2 linked regions of the Neodiprion lecontei genome follow. The protein of the gene in region 1 purifies or fractionates together with the protein of each later gene. This does not show direct contact. Links are inferred from orthologs where the notes say so. Each region holds a gene or a part of one and is shown on either strand. Other genes may lie near its edges.

The links. Proteins that work in one complex are often made in the same cells at the same time.
Region 2: the proteins of transmembrane GTPase Marf (region 1) and E3 ubiquitin-protein ligase parkin purify together in Drosophila melanogaster (affinity purification with western blotting; 3 studies listed by BioGRID). This does not show direct contact. The link is inferred for Neodiprion lecontei from reciprocal best matches to the Drosophila melanogaster genes Marf and park.

Annotation. Positions count from the first base shown.
Region 1 is NC_060261.1:40,125,630-40,136,133, forward strand, and holds transmembrane GTPase Marf, read left to right. Parts: upstream 1-2,945; 5' UTR 2,946-2,966; intron 2,967-3,266; exon of another isoform or gene 3,267-3,393; intron 3,394-3,417; exon of another isoform or gene 3,418-3,620; intron 3,621-3,938; exon of another isoform or gene 3,939-3,970; intron 3,971-4,489; 5' UTR 4,490-4,601; coding exon 4,602-4,779; intron 4,780-4,853; coding exon 4,854-4,980; intron 4,981-5,087; coding exon 5,088-5,481; intron 5,482-5,554; coding exon 5,555-5,662; intron 5,663-5,920; coding exon 5,921-5,941; intron 5,942-6,603; coding exon 6,604-6,757; intron 6,758-6,836; coding exon 6,837-6,975; intron 6,976-7,123; coding exon 7,124-7,437; intron 7,438-7,534; coding exon 7,535-7,830; intron 7,831-7,919; coding exon 7,920-8,084; intron 8,085-8,169; coding exon 8,170-8,366; intron 8,367-8,577; coding exon 8,578-8,782; 3' UTR 8,783-9,992; downstream 9,993-10,504. Other genes in the region: caspase Dronc, read right to left, coding at 42-280, 592-871, 971-1,203, 1,552-1,689. UniProt on the Drosophila melanogaster protein: Mitochondrial outer membrane GTPase that mediates mitochondrial clustering and fusion.
Region 2 is NC_060260.1:36,826,800-36,833,434, forward strand, and holds E3 ubiquitin-protein ligase parkin, read right to left. Parts: upstream 3,501-6,635; 5' UTR 3,292-3,500; coding exon 3,034-3,291; intron 2,901-3,033; coding exon 2,687-2,900; intron 2,483-2,686; coding exon 2,113-2,482; intron 2,029-2,112; coding exon 1,827-2,028; intron 1,724-1,826; coding exon 1,547-1,723; intron 1,459-1,546; coding exon 1,324-1,458; intron 1,251-1,323; coding exon 1,166-1,250; intron 1,031-1,165; coding exon 921-1,030; 3' UTR 792-920; downstream 1-791. UniProt on the Drosophila melanogaster protein: E3 ubiquitin-protein ligase which accepts ubiquitin from E2 ubiquitin-conjugating enzymes in the form of a thioester and then directly transfers the ubiquitin to targeted substrates, such as Paris, Marf, Opa1, Miro, pnut, Septin1, Tom20 and porin.

The DNA of each region.
Region 1 (10,504 bases):
TTATTTAAAGTAATAGAATCATTTTCAAGTAAAATAAATACCTGCAAGTCTGAAAAATGAAAATTTTTGGTTTTTTAGACATGTTTGGACATGCTCGTGTAGTGAAAAATTCAAAAATCTCAAATGCAGTTATCATTTTATTGTCTGTTCCGCATACTACACTTTCCGAACGATGGTCTTCGACATGTTCATTACCGTGGCTCATAATTATAAGAAACATTGAATGAACATGACGTAAGTCTGGTCTCATGGCGAATGCTGAAATTTCTTCTAGCATTTTCTGCAATTTTATTGTTTAATTCAAAACATGAATGGGAAAAATTATGCAGTAAAAAATATAAGATTTCAGAGATAAAAAGAATGAAGTCTTTAAATGAATGTCCTTAATAAATACTCCATGGCGTAATCAGTAACATAATCACTTTGATTAAGGTTGAAGTTCTTAATGTTATTCTACGAATTTACATTGAATCATTCTTGGTCAAGTACGAACAATTTTATTCAGCCACATTTTCATTTAATCACGTCTTTACTACCCATTCTTACTACAAATATCAAATATGTACTAATCTGATAATGTTAGTAACTTACCTCTCGTGTCAAGTTTTGCCGAACTATAACTTGAAAACCCATTTGTTCAAACAATTCTTTTAAATTGTCCTCATCGTGTTTGGCAGCAGCCCTTTCCTTGGCTCCTTCAGTGAACAATATGTTATTGATAATCAAGACCAAGCCACGAGGGTTACTAAACATGGCATAATTCAAAATATTATCATTCTTTGTCTCCATTAACTTAGTTGATTTCTTCACACGAATTCTTAGAGGTTCTTCGACATGTTGAAGCTTCCTATAATAGTCATCTTCCCTATGCCAGTAGAGAAAATGGAAATAATTATGTATAATATCATAAGGGTAATTTTTTTCCTGATACATTTCATATACTCCACTCCTTAGTCCAAGTTGTACTTACTCAAAAAATTCGTTTCGGATTACTTGGTTATTCAGAGGGTCAACAATATTCCTATTAATTTCTGGAATTGTTTCTTCACTTTTATTGTCAACTTCATTTGGTTTTAGTAAATTTGCTAAATCATTGCGATTCACTTCTCGTAAACATTGAACAAAACTGTCGAATGCTCTAGGACCACGTGACTCTATAGTCAAATATATTTCGCGATTATTATCCATGTCATCCAAGCGTTTCTAAGCATTAGAAATACACAGAAATAATACATTTAACAAGCAGACAAATCATAGACTAAGGGCGTGTTCGGAAATTGACTGAAAGTACTGTCAGTACTGAAAATGGTATAGTCCAAGTGACGTATACTGTAGATTTTCAGTATAAATGTAAATGGAACGAGATACATGGAAACGTTTCTACAGATGAATCATTCAAGCAAAAAATAAAAACATATTTCAGTGCTTTCTCTCAGAAAATACATGGTGTAATTGGAAACAAAAGAGAGAGAAGTGAATAATACACAGGGTAAAATTATTAATGTGATATGCAAAGGAGAATAGCATACGTATCTTGTGTCGCATTCTTACCTGCCACTTCTGAATCTTTTTATAGTTTTCGCCATAAATTTTGTGTTGCAGTAGCAATGGAAATATTTCACGCCAATCTATTTCCTCAACTAGTTTGCCCAAATTTTTTCTTAATTTTTTACGGTCCTCTTCGTTCATTGCGAAAAGAAATGTTTGTAACACCAGAGATGAGTAGGGAGATCTCCAACGCTCGGCTTTTCGTGGTACCAGCTAGGTTAGAGCGTCGACGTGACACCTAGGAGGCCACGCACCGAAGGTGGCCCAGAATCGTGTATATGTAGATATACTCGGTCGCTCGAGCAAGTGGTTGCCAATCGCATCCCTATCCCCGCTCGCACAGATGTTTCCAGGAATGCACGAATTGGGATAAAATCAGTGTGAATTTTTTCAGAATTTTAAAAGAAGCTTTTGCGGAATTGGTTTTACAATTTTTTTCTGTTTCAGTGGTGGCTAAAGAAATCTGCAAAAAATTCCGACACTGTTTCAAGTCGATTGAAACCGTGGTTGCAACATCATACTAAAGAATTATCAAAATCGAAGAGGGTGAGGTACATGGGTTGCAAATTTGACGTGGAATGCCCCATATACAATGTATATCTACGTTAAACGGATTTTTTACGTTAATGGCTTCGAATATAAAAAAACATCTCTAATTTTTTCAGATTTTTATTTCGAGCTCTTAGTGGCCTTATGTGATTTTCTTTTTAATTAGAAAAAAAGGTAATTTTATGATTTCCGGAATCTCGCCTATTGACAGTGGTCTCAGATAGGAAATATCCTCAGGATTAGGGAAAAAATAATTAAAGAAATCCCACCCACACCACAGCTACGTCCGTGATCGCGCGTTTGCTCGGTATGTTTATGGAGCTTGCTTGGAATTCGCTGATGGTTTTCTGGAAGATTCAGTTCGAGAAAAAAAAAATTTCCTCCAACCACTTGCCCATTGCACATTTTGCATAAATGTTATCGAGCTGGCTTCGTATATTTTTCCATAGACTGCGTGTACAAATATTCGAGAACACCAGGCGTCAAATATTTTCATATCAATAAAAAAATAATATTTATTAAAAAAAAAAAAAGTATTCGGGCTGGGAATGGTTAATTATTTTGGTTCAAAATTTATCAAATCTGGAGATACTTTTATTCGCTGACATTCATAATTGAAACAAAAAAATCCCAATTCTTGCATTCCTGGAAACATCTGTGCGAGCGGGGACAAGGATGCGATTGGCAACCACTTGTTCGAGCGACCGAGTATATGTATATATACACGATTGTGGGCCACCTTCGGTGCGTGGCCGCCTAGGTGTCTCGTCGACGCTCCAACCTAGCTGGTATCACGAAAAGCCGAGCGTTGGAGATCTCCGGGATCTCCCTACTCATCTCTGGTTATACCTGCGACATTTTACGCAAATGTAAGAACGGTAGATTTTTCTTTGTTGAGTTGAACCGGTGAATGATAATCTGGTGGTGAGATCGTATCTCGACAACAATTCAGAACACCGCGTTCGTAGATTATTGTAATCAAACAGCTTGACAACAATAGACGTTAATAATGATTAAATCCAACGAAATATATCTATGTATATCAATATATACCTTTCTGTGACGTAACAGGTGCGTGCAGGTGACACGACGAGCTCCAAGTTCACTCACCGACGGTCATTGGCAACCTCACATAATTCAGATCTTTCTTTTCCCCTTCTTAATTAGAGATCATCTCGGAGATTGAACCTGATTGAAGATGCTGAGAGATATGCATCTAGAAAGTGGGAGGTTAAACGGAAAGATTAAGTCCGGCGGTGCAGCTTCCGCAAACCGTGCTTAAAAAATGAGTCAAAGGTCAGATTGCTAAAAGATTTAGATCGAAATTTGACTACTGTTGGCACACATGTCAGTGAGCGACTTGTTTGCAGTCGCCTGTTCTTTCGTTGATGGCTTGTAGTCACCTTTAGTGGTGTGTGCTTATTGTGGACTTAACGAGTAAACTCAGTTTATTGTAAGCGTAATGTCAATTCACTAAGTTTCGTCGAGATTAATAAACAAGTACTTGGAACATTGCGAATCTTGTACGTTGTCAGTTTCGTATTTTCAATCATAATATTCGTTTTTTTCTGACCTTGTTAGGCTAGGTTAGGTTAGGTTCGCTTTTACATCATTCACAATCTCGCCCAAAAACGCATTTCACATTTTGCGACCTATGTGTTGTACAGAACTGCGCAATTGCAAGAACAGTGCGTATCATGAGACAAGCTCTACAACCTCGATTTTCCCAGCTTTCATCTACATTACTTAAAACTTCTTACCTAATAAAAATTACAAAGCTTATGTAGTATAAATTAACTACATTTAAGAATCTCTTCAATCAACAAAATTTTTTTCCACAGAGAAAAGCATACTGATGCATCGGAATAAACAGGTTTCAACCTTTTAATAAAACTGAAGTATTTATTTTTCAAGCAATTTAGTCCAGAATTTTAGCATTCTAGTCTGATTTGTAGTAGCACCATTGACATTCTGTGGTAGCTTTATTTTCTTATTTTTCTTAATGCGTTAGTATTATTCTTGTTCATCCTATCAAGATTTTATTGCATTGATTTATGTAGTATCTCGTCTCAATATATTGTCGCTATTCTTAGATGGTAGTCCGATTTTAGTTATATTATCAATTTTTTCACTTAGCACTAATTAGCATTAAGTACGTCTGCATCTCTTACTCAGATTGATCTATGCAATATTCACGTGTTTAAGAAACATTTCAATTTGTCGAGTTAGGTTTTTCCTTATTACTGTTTAAAAACGTAGTAATAATTATTGAAACAATGGATACAGACATACATGTGATAATGATTTGTGCTGAAAAGCAGTAATGGTATATGTATCTAGTACGTGATCCTTTATTAGCCAGTTTATTGTTCTGCTATTTTATTGTTTTCAGTTGTTCCTGCATGCTGTGTGCACTGCATCTGAAAATCCCGTCTGCTTTGTATATGCACTGTGTTACCCTTACTTTGCTGATTAAATCGTTGTCCAACAAAATATAAGCAAAAATGGCTGCTTATATCAATCGTACGATATCCATGATTGGGGGAGATGGTCAGCACCGATCGAACGACCTCAGAACTGATAATTCTCCTCTGCAGATCTTTGTCAAGGCTAAAAAGAAAATCAACGATATCTTCGTAGAGATAGATGACTACGTTCAAGATGCAGTCGGATTCATGCATTGTAAGTTTTAAATGATCCTTATAAAGTTTAAGGTTTTCTTCGATACTTGTAGACTCAACTCAATCATTCCGCAGCCTTAAGAGATGATCGTGATATCGTTAATACACAAGAAGCAGAAACAATTGAATCCTATGTCTATAAAGTACACGCAATACGAGATGTGCTTAAACGAGATCATATGAAAGTTGCTTTTTTCGGAAGGTAAGCATAACATATTACTTTGGTAAAAATGTCACACTTGCAAAAAAATTTTTTTTCAACCATCCAATCTATAATCATCAACAAAGAGATAATTTACTCCTTAATAGAACCAGCAATGGAAAAAGTACGGTCATAAATGCAATGTTGCGAGATAAAATATTGCCAAGTGGCATTGGACATACCACAAATTGTTTCCTTCAAGTTGAAGGGTCAGACAACGGTGAATCCTACCTGATCACTGAAGGATCTACAGAAAAACAGCCCGTACAATCCGTGGGTCAGCTTGGTCATGCGTTGTGTAAAGAAAAATTGTGTGAAAGTCATTTGGTACGAATTTTCTGGCCAAGAGAAAAATGTCTACTGTTAAGAGACGATGTGGTATTTGTCGATAGTCCTGGTGTCGACGTAACACCCAATCTCGATGAGTGGATTGATAAGCATTGTCTGGATGCAGATGTCTTTGTTTTAGTCGCAAATGCAGAATCCACTCTTATGGTCACTGTAAGTTTCTGAAACATGTACTGTTGTAAAGAAATCAATGTGAATTATCATTTTCTTTTTTCTTTACAATTAGGAAAAAAATTTTTTCCATAAAGTTTCTACGAAGCTGTCCAAGCCCAACATTTTCATCCTCAACAATCGCTGGGACGCCTCTGCTTCGGAACCAGAATTCTTTGATCAGGTAACTACTTCAACTCCATTAATAATGATGGTAAACCTAACTATGTTTCAGTCATGATTCTTGTTACATCGGGTTTGTTGAGATTCATGTCAAACAAAAACATGATAGATACTATATAGGGAAGTTACAACACCATTTTTTATTATTGATGTTTTGTTCTAAATTAGTTCTAAATTACCAAGTCCCTAGGTCGTTATTGTTCTTTTTCTTTTGGTTAGTCCCAGTTTTAAAAGGAGTAATGTCTCATTTTTCCTTCAGCTGGTCAATGAACAAAGGGAGGTAAGCCTTTCATTAATATAAAACTGTAATCACTTGGTAGAAGCTTGCACAATGTTAAATTATTCACTGACCACAGACAAAAAGAGCATTTTTTCAAATGACGGTTAACGCATGCAAGATACGTGCGATGATTCTCCGATACCCTGTCTGTGTTGTCTCTAGATTTTAATTGCTACCGGATCAGACATTTTTCTATTCTTGGTATATTCGTTACATTTGAAAATCCTTATGCTATTAAACTCTGTTCGTGACTTTTTTTATGAGACATGTTAATTTTTTTCCAACACTTTCCTACGCGAAAAATGAGACGAATTTGGTCACATCATTTATATTTTTACAAATTGTAACGATTTTTCAGTTTTTTGTTCCCAGAATTTATTTTCACAGCTGCATTGCATTCCTGTATGATTTTTCGCACCATTGCAGTAATGATTCACTACTCAGTAAACTACGGTTATAATTCCCAATAAATTACTGCTTCAGATGTAATCAAATTAAATTCTATTTTATTTCTCAAAAGAATTCTACTGATGTAGCCATTTACTTACACATTTTCAGGAACTTTCTTATCAGAATTTTACTTATCTGATTTGTGTCACCATCTTATACCTCAGATATTAATATTTAAACTGTCGCCATGTTCACATAATTGTTTTGTACAGGTCAGGGCACAACATCAAGAACGAGCTGTCGATTTCCTTTCCAAAGAACTGAAGGTTTATACACCCAAGGATGCCGAGGAAAGAGTTTTCTTTATATCTGCTAAAGAAACACTTCAAGCGCGACTACAAGAACAAAGAGGTCAACCTGCTCATAGTAAGTTCTTTACTAATAAACATAAGTTGTTCTAAGTTAGTGCAATTTCATATACCAAATAGTCAATGAAAAATTACAGATGGAGCACTGGCGGATGGTTTCCAAAATCGTTATTTCGAATTTCAAGACTTTGAACGTAAGTTTGAGGAATGCATTTCAAAATCGGCGGTGAAGACTAAATTTGAGCAACATTCCCAACGAGGAAAACATATTGCAATGTGAGTTATCATCATTTTCACTCGTTTTTTTTTTTTTTTTTTTTCATAGAAAATTTGTTGAGTTACAAGAAAGTGACAGTAAAGTATAGCCCCAAAGATGGAAAGAACACTAAACTCGGCATATAACTTGAAATGACCTTCATTTCAGGGAAATTCGATCGACACTAGATGAGATACTTGAACGAACACAAAAGATGCGTTCTTCACAGTTGACCGTGAAGAAAGAAGTACATGACAAATTGAACTTCACAGAACAACAACTAATGCTGCTTACCCAGGAAATGAAAGACAAGATTCACCGTATGGTTGAAGACGTTGAGCAAAGAGTTTCGAAAGCTTTGAATGAAGAAATTAGAAGATTGGCTGTACTAGTAGATGAGTTTAGCGTTCCATTTCACCCAGAACCTTTAGTGCTAAATGTTTATAAAAGAGAACTTCACAGTCACGTTGAAAATGGATTAGGTTAGTCTTCGTCTCCATTTTTACTTAAGCCTCATGTTTTTCAGTGTAAAGTGCCATACAATATCGACTGACTTTGAAATATCATTTGTAATTGCAGGATCAAATCTACGTGCAAGACTCAGCACTGCGTTAGCATTGAATATCGAAAATTCTCAACGTGAGATGACCGAGCGTATGGCTAGTTTACTACCAGATAATAAAAAGCAATTGTCGATTAATATTTTACCGAGACGAGAGCCATTTGAAATTTTGTATCGCTTGAATTGTGACAATCTTTGCGCGGATTTCCACGAGGATTTAGAGTTTAGATTCTCTTGGGGAATCACTGCTTTGATCAATAGATTTGCAGGAAAACAAGGACACAAACTAGCGATTTCTAATCATCCTCAAGCAGTGAGTCAAAGACACTTTCTTCTACACGCCGTCTGAGCTATGGTGTATTACATTATAATGTTGAAAACTTTTATTCTGATTTTCAATAGATACCTCAACTGATGTCCCCTACAGATAGTATAGATTCGGTGAAATTTGTAACAAGTCCAACTTGCATCCCCTCAAGAGGCGATGACTGGTCATTGGCAACTCGTGTCGCAATTGCCTCAATAACATCTCAGGGCACTATGGGAGGGTTACTCGTTGCTGGCTTTGTAAGTGTTGAATGACCACGGTGATTTTTTAACTATATTTCAGAGTACTCTGTATTTTGAATTGACATAATAAATGCTATTCCAGATGTTGAAAACAGTTGGGTGGAGGCTCATAGCCGTAACTGGTGCTGTTTATGGAGCATTGTACCTATACGAAAGGTTAACATGGACAAAAAAAGCTAAAGAAAAAACATTCAAGCAACAATATGTAAACCACGCAACTAAAAAGCTAAGATTAATTGTTGACTTAACATCTGCCAACTGTAGTCACCAAGTACAACAGTAAGTTCTTTCTTTCACTTATTTATGTCAACTGGATAATTTCCAGGATGAACATCAATTTATAGTGTACTCAGCATATTGATTTCTGATTCTTCTGGTTGTACATTTTTCATTTCAGAATAGTCAAAGTCAAACGTACCAAATGTAGTATAATAGCAAATAATTTTTTACGGAAATACAAATTCTAAAGAATTGTTTTATTACTGTGCAGAGAGTTATCGAGTACATTCGCTCGTCTGTGTCATTTGGTGGATGAGGCGACGTCCGAAATGGACGTGGAACTTAAAACGATTGCAACTACTCTTCGTACTCTGGAGGAAGCAGCAACTAACGCAAAGGTCCTCCGTAACAAAGCCAATTATCTAGCTAATGAACTTGATTTATTTGATGCAGCCTATTTAAAGTCATTGAATTGAAAAAAAGTTTGCAAAAAAATCAATGAGGCTGCTAAAGTATTCGATGACTTCCTTGATCTTAGAAATCTATCAATAAGCAGCTGGAAGGATGAGTTTTTTATATATACCTAATTCAGTATGACAATTATACTCTCATATCTTTATACCATTTTTAGAACAATGATTAAATCAATGAATTTTGCTTTATTTAGAATTTTATACACAAACAAACGTATACGAAAGTTGTTATACAATAATTCATACCTGACAACGTCAACTTTTATCTAACATATATATCTAACGTATGTTGCTAGATTTTCAATAGTTACCGCAATACGATATTAATCACTTGGGAGTGTTCAATTACGCACATATAAAAAAATTACAATTGTAGGTAAGCGTCATATTGAAGTCTGTATATACATAAATTCATTGGAAGTTTGAATACCGTAAGTGGAATGTTATATCTAGTCTCAGAACCTTGAAGGTCAACTAATCAATACCGATTTTATCAATCACATTCTTGAACTAATCGAGTGTATAAAATTGTGATTACCCTTGTGATTACATCCCAATTCTGCGGGTACCATAAAATTGTGTGCAAGCTGATTTTCTCAGATCTTACGCATCTTAAACATTGCATTGATCTTTCTCACGATTTTAAATTAGGGGAACTTCAATAGCTGGCATACTTTGAAAGTTTTCTCTAGTTCATTATTATAATATAAGAATAGATACAACTGCAAAGAACTTCAAGAAATGAGGATATAGCTTTGCATGAACAATGTATAGACCCTTTTTCTATTTCAAAACCTAAGAAGTACGTAAACGCGATAGAGAGTACCTAGCTTAATCTAATACATCCCCACAGCAAGCTTCCATTTTGCAAAAGAAGTGAGTTCATGCTGTCTTTAAGTATAATTTCGTATCCTTATTTGGACCGAGTCACTTCGTATGTGTAGAATTGAATAACTAAAGAAAATTATTAAAATTAGCGCAAGATTGTGATTGATATGTATGTTAATATTTTTTTTTTGATAATCATTCAAATCCTAGATCTATTGTAAAGAAAGAACTATACTTATATACTGAAAAATTATGATAGCAATCTATTATCGAAGAATCAATATCATTGTCCAATACTTTGTTGAATTCAACTAGGTAATTAAATTTCATTGGACGAGTGTTAAATGTATGTTAGAATCGTATTAATAAACAGTTGATTATTGCATACCAGACTCCTATCAACCATACTATTGTCAACTCTGTGTACATATGTTGGATTCCGAATATCCATCCTGAACGTTCCCGATTTGTCGAGTTGTCAGAATCCAACGACCTAGGTTCACGAAGAATACAAAAACTATCCTCAATACCAACAAGAGTCAGCGACATTATCAATCAGCAAATGTTGTATACTTACAAATTACATCAAATCCCGCATATGCTTCATAAGATTTATAGTAGAAATGATATTGTATGTAGTACAAATAAACTGAAAGTAGTTCAAGGAGATCAAATTCGTATTATGCATGTATTTTTTCTTTTAAGTTTAATGATTGATAACGATTCAATCGCAAGACTTCTCTGAGAAGAGTTAATGAAATCTTTTGCGTAAATTTTTTATTCTACACTCATTGAAGCCATTGGCTTGGATTTGAATGGACACAATTTATTGGCGAGATATACAATATGGTATTCCAGGGTTTTATTAATTGAAATTTGGAAGTTTGACATCTAGTA
Region 2 (6,635 bases), on another chromosome or scaffold:
TACGAATAGGATAATTATAGGTAATTAGCATAGGATTACAGAAGATTATCGTCTCCCAGGACAGCATTAAGGTAGTTCCTGCCATTTTCGTACACACAGACATGCGCCCCTCAAGTACACAAGCTTTGTTGGCGGTCTCTCTCACTCTCGTTGGCTCGCGTCGTACGTACCGTAAAATCCTCAACTTTGGATTAAAATTACTCTGAAACGGTACAGTGAAATATATATTACAATCAGCGAGGGAAGTTTTTGTCCGATGCTTTAACATACTCATTTTTCATTAAGATTCTCAGAGATAGGAAGTCAGGTGTAGATAATTGAAACTTTGACAATTAATATCTCGAGATTGATACGGTCAAGCTCACTCAATTTTGATAGCTGATGTAAAATACTGTTATGAAAGTGTGTACTTTTTTCTTAGAACGATTGTAAGAAAACTCATTTTGGGAGGAACTACCATAATAATATAAGCTATTATCGCGGTAAAGTCCTTATACTGTATAATTAAATACTCAGATACACACAGTGTATGTTTGCCTAAAGCTTAAGTAGTAACGGTAATATCCATATCCTAGAGACGCGAATTGTTAATTTGCCGCCTATCACTTTCCGATATACCTAGAAAATTTTTCAACATCGACTTACACAAATTTACTATAATGATAATAAAACCGTGAGTGTTCAGTGCTCTTATTTTTTATTACCATGTAAATATTGTACAGCCTGTAGGCGATTGAGAGGTTTCAGGTATAGAGGCATAAAGGGTGTATTCTGATGATAAAAATAAAAAATTGAAAAGAACAACAATTTATTTCACTACGTAGGTAAATACCTATCACAATTTTACCTGGCTTTCGAAGTTGCATTAACCTGATCCCATCACAGCATAAACAATTGCTGATATAAATAGTTTCAGAACATCATCCGAACCAATGACTTCCCATACAGTCTCTCGTCCATTCCGTCTGACAAACCCAGCACCACTGGAAACTACAGCCAGCTCTTGTACAAACCATGTGCATACAGCCACCTGCCAATCATTATTGTTCCCCAATCTCAATAGTTCATTATCATTTCCATATCCAAATTATGGCAAATATAACGGGCAAGCGAGTTAAAAACTCTTAATAAGGTAAGACTGAAAAATATACGTGAATAAGCTTACCATCTCGTTCAGTCGGTGTTCTACATTTCGGACATGGTTTCGTCGATATTTGAATGGTCTTCTTACTCGCTTCGTCCCACTTGGCCTGGAATTAAAATTAGGTTATCTGTGTGATTGTTTATCGATTCAAATAAGTAAATAAAAATAGTGTTACTTACCTCGCTAGCTCGCAGAGGATCAATTGCATAGCCTGAAAGACAGGAGACGGCGGAGGTAGAAGAATACGTCGTAGGCTGTTGTGAGTCACATTCACCTACGTGGAAACCTTGCAAGCATCGCCTACAGAAAACATACTATGGGAAAACACTGAATTATAGTGGTTTTTCAGCAGTGAGTAAGAGCTAAATGTCCTCGAGTACTGGCAACAATTTTATCACGTACCCCACAACCACCAATACATTGAATTCTACGACAGTCGTCCTCATCCGGGGATCGACTACGCTCCTCATCAGTCTGATCAGGTGGAATAATTCCCATTCCGCAATCAGGCCTCGGGCACAGAAGTCCTCCTGCCCTTAGAACGTATTCCTCAGTTCCAAATCGTTGGTACTGCTCATACTGTAATTTGAATTGCATTCATTCATTGGTAATCCAATGATATTTATGGAATGAGTGTGACGGTGAAAGTAGAAGAGGCCAATAATTTTAGGTACCGCTGTACCTGCTCAGGTGAGAGAAGACGGAAGTGATGAACTTCGGATATGTGCGAATTTTGGCAACCAGCCGGACATGGCAAGGTATAGTATCCGTGGTTGTCGTCAAACTCAAACTGACGATCCCGCAGACGAGCCACGCAATAGTCCCGGAAGCAGTCCAGGCAGGTTACATGTCCAGCCTCGCAAGGGAAAACCAGTACCGTGTCCCTGAAAAGTATTAACAAAGCTTGTATTAATTCTTCTTACGTTTACTTCTACACCAATTATTTATGTGCCAAATCAAAGCTTTACCTTGTATCCGTGCAAGCCAGACAAGGTACATTTCTCAGATTTGGTTTAATCAAATAAAGCGGTACCGCCTCATCTTTTTCTCCAAGACTCACGTGATTGGCGCACTTGAAATAAAACTGCGCGTATCTCACTTGAGGAGTACCTTCATCCTTCTGTGCTAAGGAAGACAGTAATGTCTGACAATCGTGATTCTCACAATGTACAGTTATTCTACGAGGCTGCTGCACGTCAGGCCAACACTGAGGGTCTCGATCCACAGTCACAGCCCCGCTACCACATGTCGCGCATCTCACTCTCAGCTTTCCTGCTTCCACTGATTTACATGGCAGCGAACAGTAAACGTAAAAATGGGCACGGGCTTGTTGCTGCTCTGTAAAATCATCACAACCACCAAATTCAAAAGAGTATTGTGATAATAATTACAGCTTAAAAACACTGCAGTGTAATTACGTAAACATATATTGACCAATTTTTTTGTTCCGTTCAACAAGAAATCTACTACTCGAGAATTCTATCGTCAAGACTTTAATCCTACAAAAGTCATTGCAATGGGGAAAACTAAATGTATGAATACCCTGCTCGCTGTGATTTTCATGACGGTCCGAATCCTCCAATGGTAAGTCGATCAAAGTTTCGTTCAGAGGTTTGCTTCCACTTTCATTTGCTTCCGATCCTTCATCTATAGATTCTTCGATAAGATTTTTAGTATCTTTTTTTCTATTAAGGCGATTTTTTCCGGGTGGCAATTTTATGGCATGCAAAATACTTTGCTGACCAAGATCGCATTCCTAGACAACAGATAAAAATATTTACATTTCAGATTAGAATTGAGGTTAGGTAGAAAAACACAATTGTTAATAACTAAATTTTGTACCGTAATAAAACGACACTTTACTGCTGATTATACGATTGTTAACATACCTCTATTATCGTGGAATTGTGCAACTCTTTACCAGCAAATATGATCTTGATATCTTCGGGAGATATGCCAAGCTGAGGCCCGACGATCTCTTTTAGGTTTCTGATGTCCCATTTCGGATCCAAATCAATGGAGAGCGTATTTCCCGTGTTAGTTTTCACGTAGATACTCAACGAGTTCGATATCTTTCGTTTTCCGAACCAAATCAACTGCAACATTCTCAAAAAGGCACCCTTCAGAAGATTGAACAGAAAACTCATTATAGAGTCTTTAATATCGAAGCAGTTCTACGTAGAATTTTGCTTTACGGTAACACCAAATGTTATCGCGATAAATGTGGAGGAGTACATGTTTGCATATGAAGCGTATTTTCTGCGTCAAATACGTATATTTTACAACCTTCAAAAAATCATTTCGAACCATTCGAACCCAAATTAGGTGCGAGATATATTCTAGTCAGACGCAGAGTGCAGCACTTGACTGTTGGGGCTGATAAAGGACATATTCTATTCGCCATCTTTTGAAAATGAAATGGTTGAAAGACTCACCTGATTGGTCAATATTCGAATATCAGCCAACCGGCTGCTTTTTCCAAAGCTTTCATTTTCAAAACGTGACAAATAAAATGCACCCAATATTTCACGCAGCATCGATTCAAATCAGGTAGCTCAGACCTGTACAGATGAATATTTATATACCGATCTGTTACTAGCCAAAGTATATACTATGTACGTTACCTTAATTATTCGATTGAATTATGAATTTGCAATCAATTCTTCCCCATGCGGGAGTTTTAACAATATTTGAGTTTCGTGCCGATCCCGTGAGCAAATAAAACGCTAGTATAACGGTAGCAACCCACTGAATTTCGGTTGTTTCGGTCAAAGAGGATAGTTTCAATCACGGTTTCAATGCCGAGTAGGCACTGAACTCTGTAATATATTTCGTCTCTACGTTTCTTGGCTTCATAATTATCATCCGATAGCATTGTTTTGGTAAAATAAAGTTCAAAATTTCCACCAGTGAAGATATGAAAATAGCGAAACCTCAATCAGATGTGATTGAAAAGAACCAAAAGTGGTGGCTGCGCTTTGTCCCTGATGCCAAAAAGTGGACCGATGTGAACATTTTAAGGTTTTTAAGCATCTACAAAGTTCATCCTATATTATGGGACCCTACGCATTCATTTTACAAAGATCGATCGAGAAGGATGAAGGCGTACGGTATAATAGCTAGGAGATTGAACTTGCTTGGTGTGAGTGAAAGAGAATGTATCAGATTAATGGAATCTCTGAAAGCCATGTACGCAGAAGAGATGAGGAAACAGATGATCGAAAAAAGATGCAGTCGAAAATATGTGTTTCCGTCAACCTGGTATCGCATTCTTGAAGAGATGATAGAATCTGTTCAAACAAAGTTAGCACAATCATCCGACAAGGGTCAGTAAAAATTACGTTGTCTGCTTCTAAGGTTGTGTGAAAGTAACAAAAAAAAAACTTCTTTCAAGTCTCCTCAGTAAAAGCAGAACCTGCAAAACCATGGCAAGCCTGCTGCCCAAGATTATACACCGAAGATATTTGGACACCGGAGCATTTCAAAACAAACGTCATGAATTGGTTTCTCGCACCGCAAGACCAGCAACTATTTTGCACCTGTCAACATTTTTCCGAAACAACTGTCGACAATAAATCAGACACAGAAAAGAGCTCCGATAATTCAGATTCTGTGTGCAATTCTAGTAACGGAATAAATCCATCAGATTCTTCTGATACGTGCTGTCCCAAGATTTGTGGAGGTAAGATAATCAAATTACTTACGCAAGCGAACGCTGTAGGGTTGAGAAATAATGCTTAATGTTTGATAGAAAATCCAAGCAATCATCACAGTAAAATTCTATGTTGCATAGATTCATTGTACAGCAAAGAAGAGGATAGCGACGTCAGTGTGGATTTGCTGTCATGTTGCGGACAAAATGATAACAGTAATTATCGGTATAAATATGGCAAGAAATCCACAAAATGTAAATCAAAGAAGCAGCACCGATGTATCAAGGAAGATGGAGGTTTATGTGAAGACAATTCATCCTATACGACAATTTGTCAAGAAAAATTGAACGTTTGTGGGAACGAACCTGCAGAGAAACCGTCTACTGAAATTTCGACGTGTCCAAAGAATAAGTTAGTCGATATTCCACTAAAGAATTTAATCTCCAAGGGTCTCTAGTCTAACTGATTAATTTACGATATTCGAGTTCCCCACGGAGATGCAAAAATATTTGTGTATTGGTTTTTTAGTAACGCACTTTGTGACAGTACAAATGTCTGCGGTAATGGATATCAGGACAAACCTTCACTCTGCGGAGGTGAATCGGAAATTAGTAAAGACTCACCAATGCGATGTGACTTGCAAAGTAGCACAGATAAATTCTCTCCCCATGATCCATCACAAATGTCATTCGAAACACCGATGATCCGCCCTTGTGGGCCTAGGCATGTTCTGGATTTCTGCTCCAGTCAAAGTCTTAGTGATGACAGTAAAGGAAGTGAATTGTCGACAAAACGTGAGACCTCAACCACAACGCAATCAAACGATACTTGTCTCTCAGACAGCGGTAAATTATCATCCTCGTTATCAAACAGTTCCGAACAAACCTCCTCAGTAGATTCAAACTGTAAGCCGATATGTGTAAAAGAAGAATCAGATCACAGATTGGATTATCATGTAAGTAGAATTGACTTGTGCATCAAAAATGTAATGCTTTTATAATCTCACTCGAACTACAATTTGCTTTATTGCCTGCATTATTTCACAGCCCGACCCAACTCTGTGTGAGAAATGCGCAGCGGACAGAGTTCCTGTACCAGCAGTGCATAAGAACGTTTTATTTTTCCAAGACCCTGGAATGCCAGAGCTGGATAAGTACTGTCGCTATAAAGACTGGGACCAGATATACAATATCAGAACTCAAGTTCCCGACGAAGAACCAAATATTCAGATAGACACGGACTGGTTACTCATGATGCAGAGTAAAGACGAACCGTCAAAACCAAAGAGAGACAATCATTTGCACACCCAAGCAGATGTACACCTATTTATAGATCCAGAATCGTCTGAAGCTAGACAAGTGAGTTTGAATAATGAATATAAGCATGAATATGGATTAAATATTCGAATCAAGCAGCCTGGGCATTACGCCTGCAAAGTCCCTGATGCACCAGGTGATAAGCCTGCACAGCTTATGTTGTGAATGGGGAAAATTCGGGAAGTACAAAAAGCTTTCGGTGTTATTTTCATGATGCTTAGGTAACTTTTAGTCTGTATTCGCGAGCTTTCAATGACTGAGGTATGGAATATAAATATTTAATAAAGAAGTTGGTATAGTAAGTTGACGGGTTTAAAAGAACTTAAATTTTTCAGCTGTACTAGCTCTTAGCCTTTATAAGGTTTTACCAAGAGCCTCTTTTTATTTTTATTTCTTGATGCATAAATTTTCATTCTCAACACACTGTGCACTAACATACAATTCACACTGTATTTGAAAATATGTTCGATGCGTTAGGATCATTAATATAGATTCATTATAACGCAGTTATTACATTTACCC